3 linked regions of the Oryzias latipes genome follow. Each later gene encodes a partner of the first gene's protein in a complex. Links are inferred from orthologs where the notes say so. Each region holds a gene or a part of one and is shown in the gene's direction. Other genes may lie near its edges.

Evidence for each region.
Region 2: ttf2 (region 1) and ppp1r8 share a complex: the UniProt entries of both Homo sapiens proteins name them as parts of the spliceosome. The link is inferred for Oryzias latipes from reciprocal best matches to the Homo sapiens genes TTF2 and PPP1R8.
Region 3: ttf2 (region 1) and akap17a share a complex: the UniProt entries of both Homo sapiens proteins name them as parts of the spliceosome. The link is inferred for Oryzias latipes from reciprocal best matches to the Homo sapiens genes TTF2 and AKAP17A.

The regions. Positions count from the first base shown.
Region 1 is NC_019879.2:11,156,159-11,159,721, forward strand, and holds part of ttf2 (transcription termination factor 2), read left to right. Parts: intron 1-1,074; coding exon 1,075-1,151; intron 1,152-1,429; coding exon 1,430-1,572; intron 1,573-1,650; coding exon 1,651-1,830; intron 1,831-1,952; coding exon 1,953-2,011; intron 2,012-3,563. UniProt on the Homo sapiens protein: DsDNA-dependent ATPase which acts as a transcription termination factor by coupling ATP hydrolysis with removal of RNA polymerase II from the DNA template. May contribute to mitotic transcription repression. May also be involved in pre-mRNA splicing.
Region 2 is NC_019874.2:22,802,601-22,806,951, reverse strand, and holds the start of ppp1r8 (nuclear inhibitor of protein phosphatase 1), read left to right. Parts: upstream 1-1,504; 5' UTR 1,505-1,551; coding exon 1,552-1,604; intron 1,605-2,049; coding exon 2,050-2,110; intron 2,111-2,222; exon of another isoform or gene 2,223-2,361; coding exon of another isoform or gene 2,362-2,379; exon of another isoform or gene 2,380-2,387; intron 2,388-2,448; coding exon 2,449-2,602; intron 2,603-3,052; coding exon 3,053-3,270; intron 3,271-3,591; coding exon 3,592-3,736; intron 3,737-4,159; coding exon 4,160-4,224; intron 4,225-4,351. UniProt on the Homo sapiens protein: Inhibitor subunit of the major nuclear protein phosphatase-1 (PP-1). It has RNA-binding activity but does not cleave RNA and may target PP-1 to RNA-associated substrates. May also be involved in pre-mRNA splicing.
Region 3 is NC_019879.2:18,186,250-18,190,303, forward strand, and holds the start of akap17a (A-kinase anchor protein 17A), read left to right. Parts: upstream 1-1,207; 5' UTR 1,208-1,492; intron 1,493-2,074; 5' UTR 2,075-2,155; coding exon 2,156-2,488; intron 2,489-3,302; coding exon 3,303-3,521; intron 3,522-4,054. UniProt on the Homo sapiens protein: Splice factor regulating alternative splice site selection for certain mRNA precursors. Mediates regulation of pre-mRNA splicing in a PKA-dependent manner.

The DNA.
Region 1 (3,563 bases):
GTACTCAACCTTTTGACATTTGGCTGCTTTTGCTTTAACTTAAACTGCACTAAGTCCATGCAGAGGACTGGTTAAAGTGGAGGGACGTTCTAAACCTTGCTGCTGGAAACAGAGAAATCCTTGAAACCAAAGAGTTTTCTTTCAACCAAAAGTTGCTTAGGATATTTTATAAAGGGCATCTTTGGAAAGGCTCTGAACACAGCCCAAAATGTTGAAATCCCTCAAGGAAATGAAAGCACAGCATCTCTGTGCTCCTAGTTTACAACCAGGGAATTTTAGTTAGAATAGAGTGTGAATCCTGCAGTTATGAGCTTCTCCTGTTTTTTTTATTTTTCACAAATTTTATGGTAATTTCTTAACCTAAATGAATTTTCAACCTTCAATTGCCAGAACCCGCTGAATCCCTTTCAGGGTCACTGGGCTGCTTAAGGTCCAGCTACTGTTGGGTGAGGGTGGGGTACATCCTGAAAGGGTCACCAGTCTGTTGCAGGGCTACACACTCACATGCACACCTAGGGGCAATTCAGATGTATCAATTGACATATGAAGAAAGTTCTTGAACTGTGGGAGGAAGCCAGAATGTTTTGAGACAGGACCTTCTCCCTATGAGGCGAGAGTGCTAACCGCTGCACCATTGTGCAGTCCAATTTTTAAGGCAATCTGAGTAATTTTTAAATGTAAAAAAGTAAATAAAAATTTTTGTCTTCAAAATCTTTTTCTATAGTTAGTGCAATTTTTTCTTTACAAGGTTAAAAAATGAATTTGTTATCCAAACAAAATTTTTGAGTTTTTCCTGACAGATGCGTTATTAAAGGATTCGTGAGTTTTCCATTTAAACTTGAATGAGGAACTAACAACTAAAGTTTAATATTTTAATATACAGTGATGAAGAAATGATTCCATAATGGACTTACTTATCAGGACAAGAACCCAAAACCTGTTCACCTTTAAAACTGTAAAGATGGAAGACATTCTATAAGAAATGCCATTTAAGAAACTCTCTGGTCTGTATCGACAATAAACAAAACAAAGATATTTAAAACAGTCGTCTCACTCTGGATGTTTTTCCCTCAGATCTACTCTGCAGAATTATCTGAAGAGACATGAAGGAAAGGACGTGGGAAACTCCTCCTCCAATCCATTTGACAAAGGTGAGATAAGGTTTAGACAAATAAATGTGTTCCTGTGTCTTAGTGTAGGTAGCCTTACAATAAAGAAATGTGATTTTTTTTAAATTTTTTTTATTTCCTAGTAATTGCATTTTTAAAGTTGAAAACTTTTCAACTTTAAAAACCAAGTCCAGATGACAATTATTATACCTACTACTGCGATGAAAACAACCTGGATGAATGAGAGTCTTCACAGACATAATTCCTTGTAATTGTATTTCTTGTTGCATTTTTCTAACACCGTTTGTGCCGTCTTCCAGTGGCACAAGAGTTCGGCCTGTCTCAGTCTGATTCTGCCGCATCAAGCTCTCAGCAGCATCAACAGTCCTCCAGCAGCATCCACATCCTGTCCTTGCTGCTGCGCCTTCGTCAGTGCTGCTGTCACCTCTCTCTTCTGAAGAAGGTCGGCACTCTTTTTTTGCATCCTCTCACAGGAGATTACAGCCCTGGAGGACAAACCAGTTTCCTTTTCTCTGTTCAGACGCTGGACTCCTCTGAGCTGCAGGGGGACGGCATCGTTTTGTCCCTGGAGGAGCAGCTTAATGCTCTGTCGCTGTCCTCCAGCCCCTCACCATCAGATGCTGACCCCAAAGACACAGTGCTGCTCAATGGCAGTCGCTTCCCCTCACGGCTGTTTGAGGACACCAACAAAAGCACCAAGGTGCCAACCAACTAGAAATAGAAGGGTTCTGCTCATGATTCTGATAGCGAGAGCTTTTCCTAAACTAACTGCATTTTGTTTAACAAAGTGTCTTTTGCTTTGCTTTTTCCCAAATGTTATAGATTTCAGCTATCACCTCTGAGCTCATGGCAATCAAAGAGAAGAGTGACGACCAAAAAAGGTGAAGCTACTAATGCATCTTTTACTTATCTCTTCAAATAATCTTATTTCTTCAGTCTGTCATATTTTTACCTGTTACCTTTACCTGTCTTCTGTCAAACAGAAGAGGCACACAAAACCTTCTCTCTGAGTTTGCTTCTTGCTAAAGCCTTAAGGCCCGTACACACCGGGACGAATATTCGCCAGGCGTTTTTCGCCAGCGTTTTTCGCCACGTTTTTTGTGTTCACACCCAGGCGATTTTCGCTGACGATGAGCCGAGCGAACATGCAATTTCATTCCCTGACATTAGATGGCGCTTAATGTAAACAGAAATACTCCTGTACACAAGGTGGCGCTGCGCAACTTTAGGCTTCTTAAAGTCGCTTTTCACTCAGAAGAAGAGAGCAAGTATTTACGCGCTTGTCAGAATCATACAAAGAAAACATGAATATTTCAAGCACCAGTAGCTCCAACTGGTGCTTGGTTCGGGGATATTTTAGAATGTCCGTCATTATTTCTTCGCGGCAGTGTAGACGCTACTCGGCGTCTATCTTCTTCGCTGGTATGTGTGCTCAGCAAGGCAGTTTGTGTTTGAGCGCCCCCAAGTGGTGTTTTACTGTAACTTCAGAAGCTCCAGACACGTGTGCAAAAGCGCCATTCTCATTGGTCGAATAGATTTCGACGCGACGCGTCGAAAAAAAAAAACGAACCCGAGGCGTTTTTTTTTTTTTGACGGTTTGGCGCTTGGCGTTTTTTCGCCTCGGTGTGCACACTCACATTGGTGCCCTTTGTTTAGTCACGAGGCGTTAAACGTCGGCGAAAATCGCCGGCGAAATTCGTCCCGGTGTGAACAGGCCTTTAGTCACAAATTCCCTTACGGGTGTATACAGACTTTCTGCAGGTGAAAAGTCTGTACAGGGCCCACAGGTGGTCCGCACGAAATATCAAAGTTTTAGACCACTCTGTGAACCTGTAGAGCAAAAATATGTGTGCAAACTTTTTCTACTGGCATTAGGCCTGCACAATATACCGCAAATTTATCGTTATCGCGACATCAAGCTGTGCAATATGCATACCGCAAAAGACGGCGAAAATCGCAATAAATGGTTACCTTAAATGTGCTAAAACAATCTCATGGCAGCTTGAAATATTGAACAAATGAAATAAATCTCTTTATGCATTTAACCAATCGGAAGGACTCGTTTACGTTGTTGATGTTTGATGTTTGGCTCCTACGTCGACAAGGGTCATTTGGAGTATAATTTTTAAACTGTTGCAGTCAACACGGAAATTATGTTTTTGGTTGTTTTGCTATTTGTTTATATACCGCGAATTATATCGTTATCGCAATATTAATCACCAATATCGCATATCGCGAGTTTTCCTCATATCGTGCAGCCCTAACTGGCATGCTGCGAGCATCGGGTCATAGTGAACATTTAAACAATGTGTAACCCTTGTGCAATCCAAGGCATTTTAACATTGGGAGTGGGGTCATCTGAATGTGATCTTCATTGGTATCAATGCATTACATAAAATCCTATTTCACCTTTATCCACCTTTGTCATGGTAG
Region 2 (4,351 bases), on another chromosome or scaffold:
ACAGATGTCATATATGCACATGAATGTGTGAGAGACAGAATCTGAGAAGAACAATTTCTCCTCTATCAATGGAACAAAACATAAAATGCATTCTTTCTGAATTAAAAATGTTCTAGAAGGACTAACTCTACTGCAATGCCTAAACCTTAGAACTCGTTTTATTTTATTTTACTGTATGCAAATGTACTTGGGTAAGGAAAACTGGATTTGGATGTGTGACACATTAACTAAACATGTGATCTTTACCCCTTTTGCAAATTATAGACGGAAAACATTTCATTTTTGGTTGAAGCCTTACATGTCTGAATCAAATGCAGTTAAAAGTTGTGTCTGCACCCCCTCTTTATGGATCCAGCTCACAGCGCTTTTCTGAAAATGTCTATCATCCTTTCTGAAAGTTCACTTCTGCTTCAGCTTTACACTTTATGCCATCTGTAAACAAAACTTTTACCATCTCCAGCTGACTAACAGAGGTCAACGCTGAACATATTTTTTTATTTAAAACATAGAACTCTAAATGGATCCAAGAGAGTCAGTTAATTTGAGGTAACCCCCCCCCCCCTTCCACCCACCTCAGGCCTGACCAAAAAAGCAAAAACCAGAAGGAGTTCACCCACTCACAAGCAGAAATAGATACAGACACAACTTCAAGCCCCCCAACACAGAATCCCACACATGTTGACCAATCATTTATTTCCAAGAAAATGTTTCCATTTTCAAATTAAGAGTTTAGAGACCTCTAGTGGTCTTTTGTAATTGAATTCTTCATGTTTATTAGGCAGCTTTACAAAGAAACATGCAAATCAAATAAAAAATTACTTGAATTATAACTGTTTTTGTTTGTTTGTTTTTCAAAATATAATATGATAATGTTTTTCATTAGTTAAGTATTTAAAAGTTACTCCCAAACCACTCATCATCTTGAAAAGAAACATTAAACATACAGTACAGACCAAACGTTTGGACAAACCTTCCCATTCATTTGAATGAGAAGGTGTGTCCAAACTTTTGGTCAGTACTGTAGTAAGAAGAACATCTTTCCTATGGGATAGATGGGGAGGCATGTGGTCGAGGGTTCTGCTGTGTAAACCATGAAGAGAAAAGAGAAAAGCTAACAAAAAAAGTCATTTTTGTCATCAAATATTTTTTATAACTTTTTCTGAGTCCCATTACAGGACTGTTGTGAAATTAAAATTAATGACATTATTATTAAAATTAATCTGTATATTTTTAATTAAAATATTACATTTTCTATGAATGGATTTAACACAAGTAAATCAAAATTGAACTTTTTTTGTTAATAAATCTTACAGTGCAATTAAGTTTTAAGTGAAGATCATTTGCCAAAAAAAAAAAAAAACTATTTCAAAAGTTTTACTAAAAAAGAATAATTCCCTGTATCCTGTACAAATCTGACGAATATTGCAATATGGTAAAATTATTATTAATATTATTACTCTTACTATCATTATTATCTCTGAACGACAACTCCCGACATCCCAATGTTTTGTTTACCCAGCATGCATTTTGGTTGCAATATGCTAAAGCAAGATGGCGACTAAAACAGGCAAAGACGGTCCTCCGCCTTTTGATTGTCCATCATGGTGAGAAAACTTACTTATTGCAGAACAAACTAGAAATTTGTAACGCGTTGCTGGATGTGCATTTGCAAAGCTATTTGACCTGTTCATTTGTGCCTTTTAATGCTAAGTAGAAGTCTGTAGTTGCAGTTGCTAACATTAGCTAGGTTAGCATGGTAACCCTTAGCGTTGTTGGCGTCAATTAACCAGAAGGGCTAGAAATTATTTATTCGAACGGGGAAAGCCGTGTTCTTTGTATGAGTAGAATTCACGTCCAGATCAATTAAAAATAATTATTATTATAAATGTGGAAAATATTTATCTTTAAAATATTTATTCTTGAAATAGCTAGCGCGGAGAGAAACATGTAAAAGACATTTGAATTCATTTATTGTAACATTAATTTGTGCATGATCCATGTTTGTTTGTTTTCCCTAAATATTGACAGTAGTTGATCGTCTGTTTACAGGGCAGGCAAACCCCCCACGGGGCTTCATCTTGACGTAATGAAGGGAGACAAACTGATAGAGGTAATAATTGAATGAAAATGTGCAGATGTTGGTCCTGTTATGCAGTAATATGACTGCTTATTCTGCTTTTGTGCCTTACTGTTGTTAAATCATGTATCGTGTAAGTCCATACATGCACCCATACACGAGCCTGACAGTCTGCTCTGTCCCTGATGTTTGAACATCAGGACAGGTCTGTGGCTGCATGGCTTCCAACGGTGCTACAGCAAAATCAGCCGTGAGGTTTAAGCTGATCAGTGGAAGCGACACTGATGAGTTATGACTCAGAGGTACACCTGTACTGTTGAAGCCATACTTTATGTGTGACTGACAGAAAAAACATTCTCTCTTTTCTATAGAAATTGATTATTGATGAGAAGAAGTTTTACCTTTTTGGGAGGAACCCCGACTGGTGTGACTTCACCATCGACCATCAGTCATGTTCCCGTGTTCATGCTGCCTTAGTCTACCACAAACACCTAAAAAGACTCTTCCTTATAGACCTCAACAGCAGTAAGGGATCGCTTTTAGTCCTACCTTTGTATTTGATTTATATTGTTGGAAGAAAGAAACGGTACACAAAGCAGAATGCAATACTGAAGCATTTTAATCATTTAGGAATTGAATACATTCTGCCATCACGTTTGATACATTTACGAATATTAAATCATATGAATAGAGTTAAAAGGATCACCACAGCTTCAACATCCATACACATTTTGTTTGTTTGTATTTCATGTGTTGTGATGAAATCACGGATCGTATCACTGAAAAATTTAGATTTGATCAACTTTCTGACTTTAAAGCAAATATCTTTCCCAATTGCTAAAAGAGTTGGAGTGTACGGTGGTGGTAAAAATTGCATCTTGTTTTGTTGTAGTATTGTTTCATTGTTATGACAGTGTTGCGTTACCTCTTTATTTTATTCTTTTGGGAAACCTTATTTGATTGTTACCCTTTCAGCACATGGTACTTTCCTTGGACACATCCGCCTCGAGGCCCACAAGCCTCAGCAGGTTCCTATAGACTCCACTTTAGCTTTTGGGGCTTCCACGCGAACGTATATCATCAGAGAGAAACCCCAAACCCAAGGCAGCACTAGCACAGGAGACAATAAGACGGGAGATGACGAGGAGCTCAAAGGACTTCTAGGTCTTCCAGAAGAAGAAACAGAGTTAGATGTACGTTATGTTTTCTGATCAATCTTGTTTTCATCTCTGTTTATTCCAGTCTTTTTGCCTGTTGATTCTTGAACTCTGGCTAAATTTGTCAAACTACTAAAGTTTAAGATTTGCTTGTTTGCTTTTATACAAATAGACCTGCATATTTTACTTTGACCATGTGTGCATGGTCAAAGTAAAAGTAAAAGTAAGTAGTGGCAAGGTTTAGTTTCAGAATACTACTATGTTTTTTCCCACTTATGAATCCTTTAATCCCGTCTACCGGTTGGTTGAAATGTTGTAGCCGCCTTACAAATGTTTGTGGTTTCTGAATCCTGTCAGAATCTGACAGAGTTCAACACAGCTCACAACAAGCGCATCTCGCTATTGACCATTGAAGAAGGCAACCTGGAAATCCAAAGACCTAAAAGGAAACGCAGAAACTCCAGAGTCACCTTCAGTGAAGAGGACTCCATCATTAACCCAGGTACTTACCAGTGTAAAAAATAAAAAACTTCATTTATGAACTTCTTGTTTTTAATCATAGCTGTTTTCACCTCTTGAGACAGGATGAATATTTTTTTGGTAGATTTCCTGTGGACTAGTTCTTTATATATATATATATAAGTTTATGTACTGGTAAATAGTTTTTTGTTTTTTTTGGGGGGGGTGTGTAGTTAATTTCCCTTTTTATTAAAGCACAGTCAAATAATTCTGTCAATGTTGCTTTCTAAAGATATACACCCAAATTTTAGTTTATGAAAAGGCTGAAAAATATTTGTAAAATACATTGATATTACTTTTGCAGTTGTGTCAAAGTGTGTCTATTCCATGTTATTCTCCAGTTATTAGGATTCTCATGAATGTAGATGTGTGAAAACATCTCTAAAAGGCTTTTTCTCCTTTTCAGAGGATATTGACCCCTCGGTCGGTCGCTTCAGGAACATGGTGCAAACAGCTGTCATCCCCATCAAGGTAAACTGTCGAAGGATTTTGGTGATTATTTGTATGAGAACTGGACCGAGCAAGAATGGTTTACTTCCAACAAAATGAAATTAATTAACGTTCAACATGAGACCATAATCTTATATTGAGGCGTCTG
Region 3 (4,054 bases), about 7.0 Mb from region 1:
TGGACTCCAACGTGCACCGGGAACAGGTTTGACTTACTGCCGGCTATGCGAACCAAGCTCTTGCTCCGGTCATGCAGAGACCAGACAGCCCTCAGTAAGGCTCCCCGGACCCCATACTCCCATAGTTCCCTCCACAGGATACGGGGGACGGACGTGGTCGAACGCCTTCTCCAAATCCACAAAACACATCTGGACTGAATGAGCGAACTCCCGCATTCCCTCCAGCACCCTAGAGAGGGTGTAGAGCTGTTATACTGTTCCACGACCAGGACGGAAACCTAACTGTTGTTCCTGGATCTGAGGTTCCACTATCGGACCGACTGTCTTCTCCAGTACTGTGGCCTATTGACTTTCCTAGAGAGCCGGGGGTGTGTGATTCCCTGGTAGTTTGAACAAAACTAGATCAAAAACAGATCCTCAAAAATGTTATCAATGTACTGGGAAAAGTACGAGATTGAACTCCGGTATTCACAAACTTTGGCGTCATCTTGATAGGCAGGGCGCCCTGGTAGTACAGGTGTAAACCTCTTATGATGGACGTTTAAAAAACACAAAAAAATCAAGTTATTTAAAAAAAACAGTTATTTCTTCCTGAATCTCATCCTTTTTATCATCTCAAAGCTCCAAATCTGAATCTCTCTCAACTATCTGGTATAAAATCCTCTCTGCTTCACTTTTTTCTCCAAACATTATGTGCAGCAATTAAATACATTAAAATGGTCCCGGTGTCCTCTACAGTGGACATTCATTAAATGCCTGCTGTTTTAAAACCGAAAACATGAAACTTTTTTCAGATCTAAAAATATTGTTCCTAACATGTTTATGACCAAGAATATATATAATTATCATGGTAAAAAAAGGAATAGATACATAATTTTTGACTTGCCTTTCACCTTTCCATAAAATTAGGTAAATGGCATGGAAGCCATCTTTGTAGAGGTAAAACTTAAAGTTCCCAGCATGCAAACTCATCACATGACACATCAATGGAAAGCCCAGGATGTCCTCTACAGATTAAAGTAGGATTCGGAAAGGCATCTCTTAATTCCTTAGAAATATACAGATAAACAAAATGACCATTATAGAGGACATAAGTGAATGGGCCGGGTCTCAGGAGGATATTATTTTTTTTAATATATAGTATAGCTTTTACCACAGTGTGTCGCTGTTTCTTCCCACCGCCACTAATAGCAGTTTCTCGTAGTTTCCTTGTCAGGTCAAAGTTCACTGGATGCGGAATCGGCGTACCACGGCTTTTTTCAATGAAATAGTTGTATGATATATATAGTTTGACTCTGCAGCGCCTGGCTCTCAGGCTCAGGAACTCTTTATACACCCAGACTTAAATGTTTGGCGAGTTGTTGTTAAAAATAACTAACGTTAGCCAACTCTTATGTAATAGCAGACAGCTGCTACACTGGAGAAAAAAGGCATCTGTGGTGCTGGAGCTATCTAAGCTAACTACACGGTTCCCCGCCACGCAAACCATAGAGTAAGTGATTATGACTGATGACTTTGTGCGAAAAGAATGACTTGGTGTGTTTGTGACGCTGTTTATCACGTTTCCCCTCATTATTATTGATTTACGATCCTAAATGTATTTCTGTTCGTTGCGTAGCATGATGGGTAGCTCAAGTTAGCGGTAACTTAGCTGATGTTTTGGTTTGGTATTCATTTATTTAAAGTACTTGTAAGTAATTATTTGCTAGTAAATTAAATATGTTCCCCCTGTATAGTATTATTCGTGTATAAATATGCTACTGATTTGATTCGAGTATTAAGAAAAAACATTGAATAGAATTGTAACAGCTAGAGGTTAAGCTGAATAGCATCAATTAATTTGTTTATTTACAGACTTGAGGTCTACATATAAACACCACAACCATATATAACAGACAGTCATATAGAATAAAATCACTAGTCAAAAAAAGTGAATATAACAACAATAATAGTGATTAAAAAAAAGAAATGTGTAGCATTGGGGACTGGCATACACAAGTCCTGTCTAAATCTGTCAGTTTTGTGGAATTCTCTTTATTTCTTTGTGATATTTTTGTTCTTGTTTTGGCTACAGGGTCTGCGTAGATGTGTGAACTAGCTTAGCTGGAAAATCTCTGATTTTTCTGGTCCTTGGGGCATCCTCACTCGTCTCTGAATGACAATGACCACCATCGTCCACGACACCACAGAGGCAGTCTGCTTGTCCGCCGAGTACAATTTGTACCTCAAGCCGATAGCTAAAATGACCGTCAGCGTGGCCCTACCCCAGCTCAAGCTGCCAGGCAAGAGCATCTCCAACTGGGAAGTGATGGAGAGGGTGAAGGCGATGGTCGCTCCTGAGCAGTTCTCCGCCCTCAGAATCTCCAAGAGCACCATGGACTTCATCCGCTTTGAGGGCGAGGTGGAGAACAAGACTGTGGTCAAAGGCCTGCTAAGCCGTCTTGATGGAAAGACCATTAAACTTAGTGGATTCACCGATGTGCTCAAGGTAAGGCTGACAGTTTGAATCACCAATTGCTTAATTATTGCGTTTAAACTAAAGACGCACTCTGATGAAAACCGTGTTTTGGGTGTTTTTAATTATGAATTTGTAGCATTTTTCTGATGGTGGAGACATCTACGAAAAATATCAAGCTTAAATTAGTATTTCTGAGTATTTCTTTAGTGAAATCATGTGAATCAGGAGCAGACAAAAAATTACTTGTAGGTGGGATTTAGAAACTACGATGGCAAGCCACAAACCCCCCTTGCTCCGCTCCACTCTGATGCATCCACTTGCAGACAAATAGATCCATGTACGTCTTTGTTTTCCTCATCTGAGCTGACATCTAGCTCAGAACTGTACAGCTGGATAGCTCCGATATTGGGCGCAATTCTTGGTGCACCAGTAATGTCATGTCGGGGTTGTGAGGGGACTGAAAGCTAGCGGGAAAGAACGTAAACAGATGGATGATGGGAAGGGGACAGGCTTACTCTGTGCCAACAGTTCCGCCCACAACTCGAAGGCAAATTTTTAATGAACTCCAGCCGCTCTGTAGCAACTCTGTCCTAGAAGAATACGCAACGATTACATTGATTCATTTTTTTCATTCATCTTCTATCGTTTATTCCCTTTCAGGGTCACGGGGCTGCCGGAGCCTATCCCGGCCACTTTACAATAGATCAAAAAATGATTGGAGTGGGACTTTAAAGACTTTTATACATTATAATTTGTTCCATTAGACTAATACTTCAACTATATCTCTACCACAAAATGGATGGACTGTATGTGATGCATTCGTTGGTCTGTCTTCGTCCCTCAGGTTCGGGCAGTAGAAAATAAGGTGGAATTCCCCACCCGCCATGACTGGGACTCCTTTTTCCGTGATGCTAAGGACATGAATGAGACCCTGCCTGGAGAGAGGCCGGACACCATCCACCTGGAAGGCCTTCCCTGTCGCTGGTTCAGTCAGAAAGACAGTCAGTTCCCAGATCGGCCCTCAGAAGAAGTCCTCATTGCTGTTTTCCAGACATTTGGGAAGGTAATTGTCGATTAAAGACATACATTCTTCTCAGTTGGTAGTTCTGTATGTGACTATTTTTACATTTCTATACGTTTAACCAGGCTGTTCAGTACAAATCATGTTTTCTCAGCAAAAAGCTAAATTAAATAGAAAAATACAGATTGTTTATAGTTGCAAAGGTTTGCTGATCAGCTTTCCCTCTATTAACATGTTAGAGCATTTATAGAACCTCATACTGTTAATGTTTTTCATTTTTTGCTCTTCTTTGGAACAGTTTGTCTGAATCTATTTTTTTTTTTTGTGTAGGAAGAAGTCTGTATTTCTGCTTTTTTTTTACATCCAATTAGAGAACCCAGGTGAAAGTGTCTGAGTTCAAAGATCAGAAAGACCCCCTAAGCGTCAGAGTTCTTTATTAATAAACCAATAATAAAATCCAAACACCAAGTAGAAGAAGAGATGAAATAATGGCAACATATTTTGTGTTGTCTTTGTCAATTCTGGACTTTTAATTTGTTATGACAAACAAATAAAAAGGCAAGTTCTGATTCAGT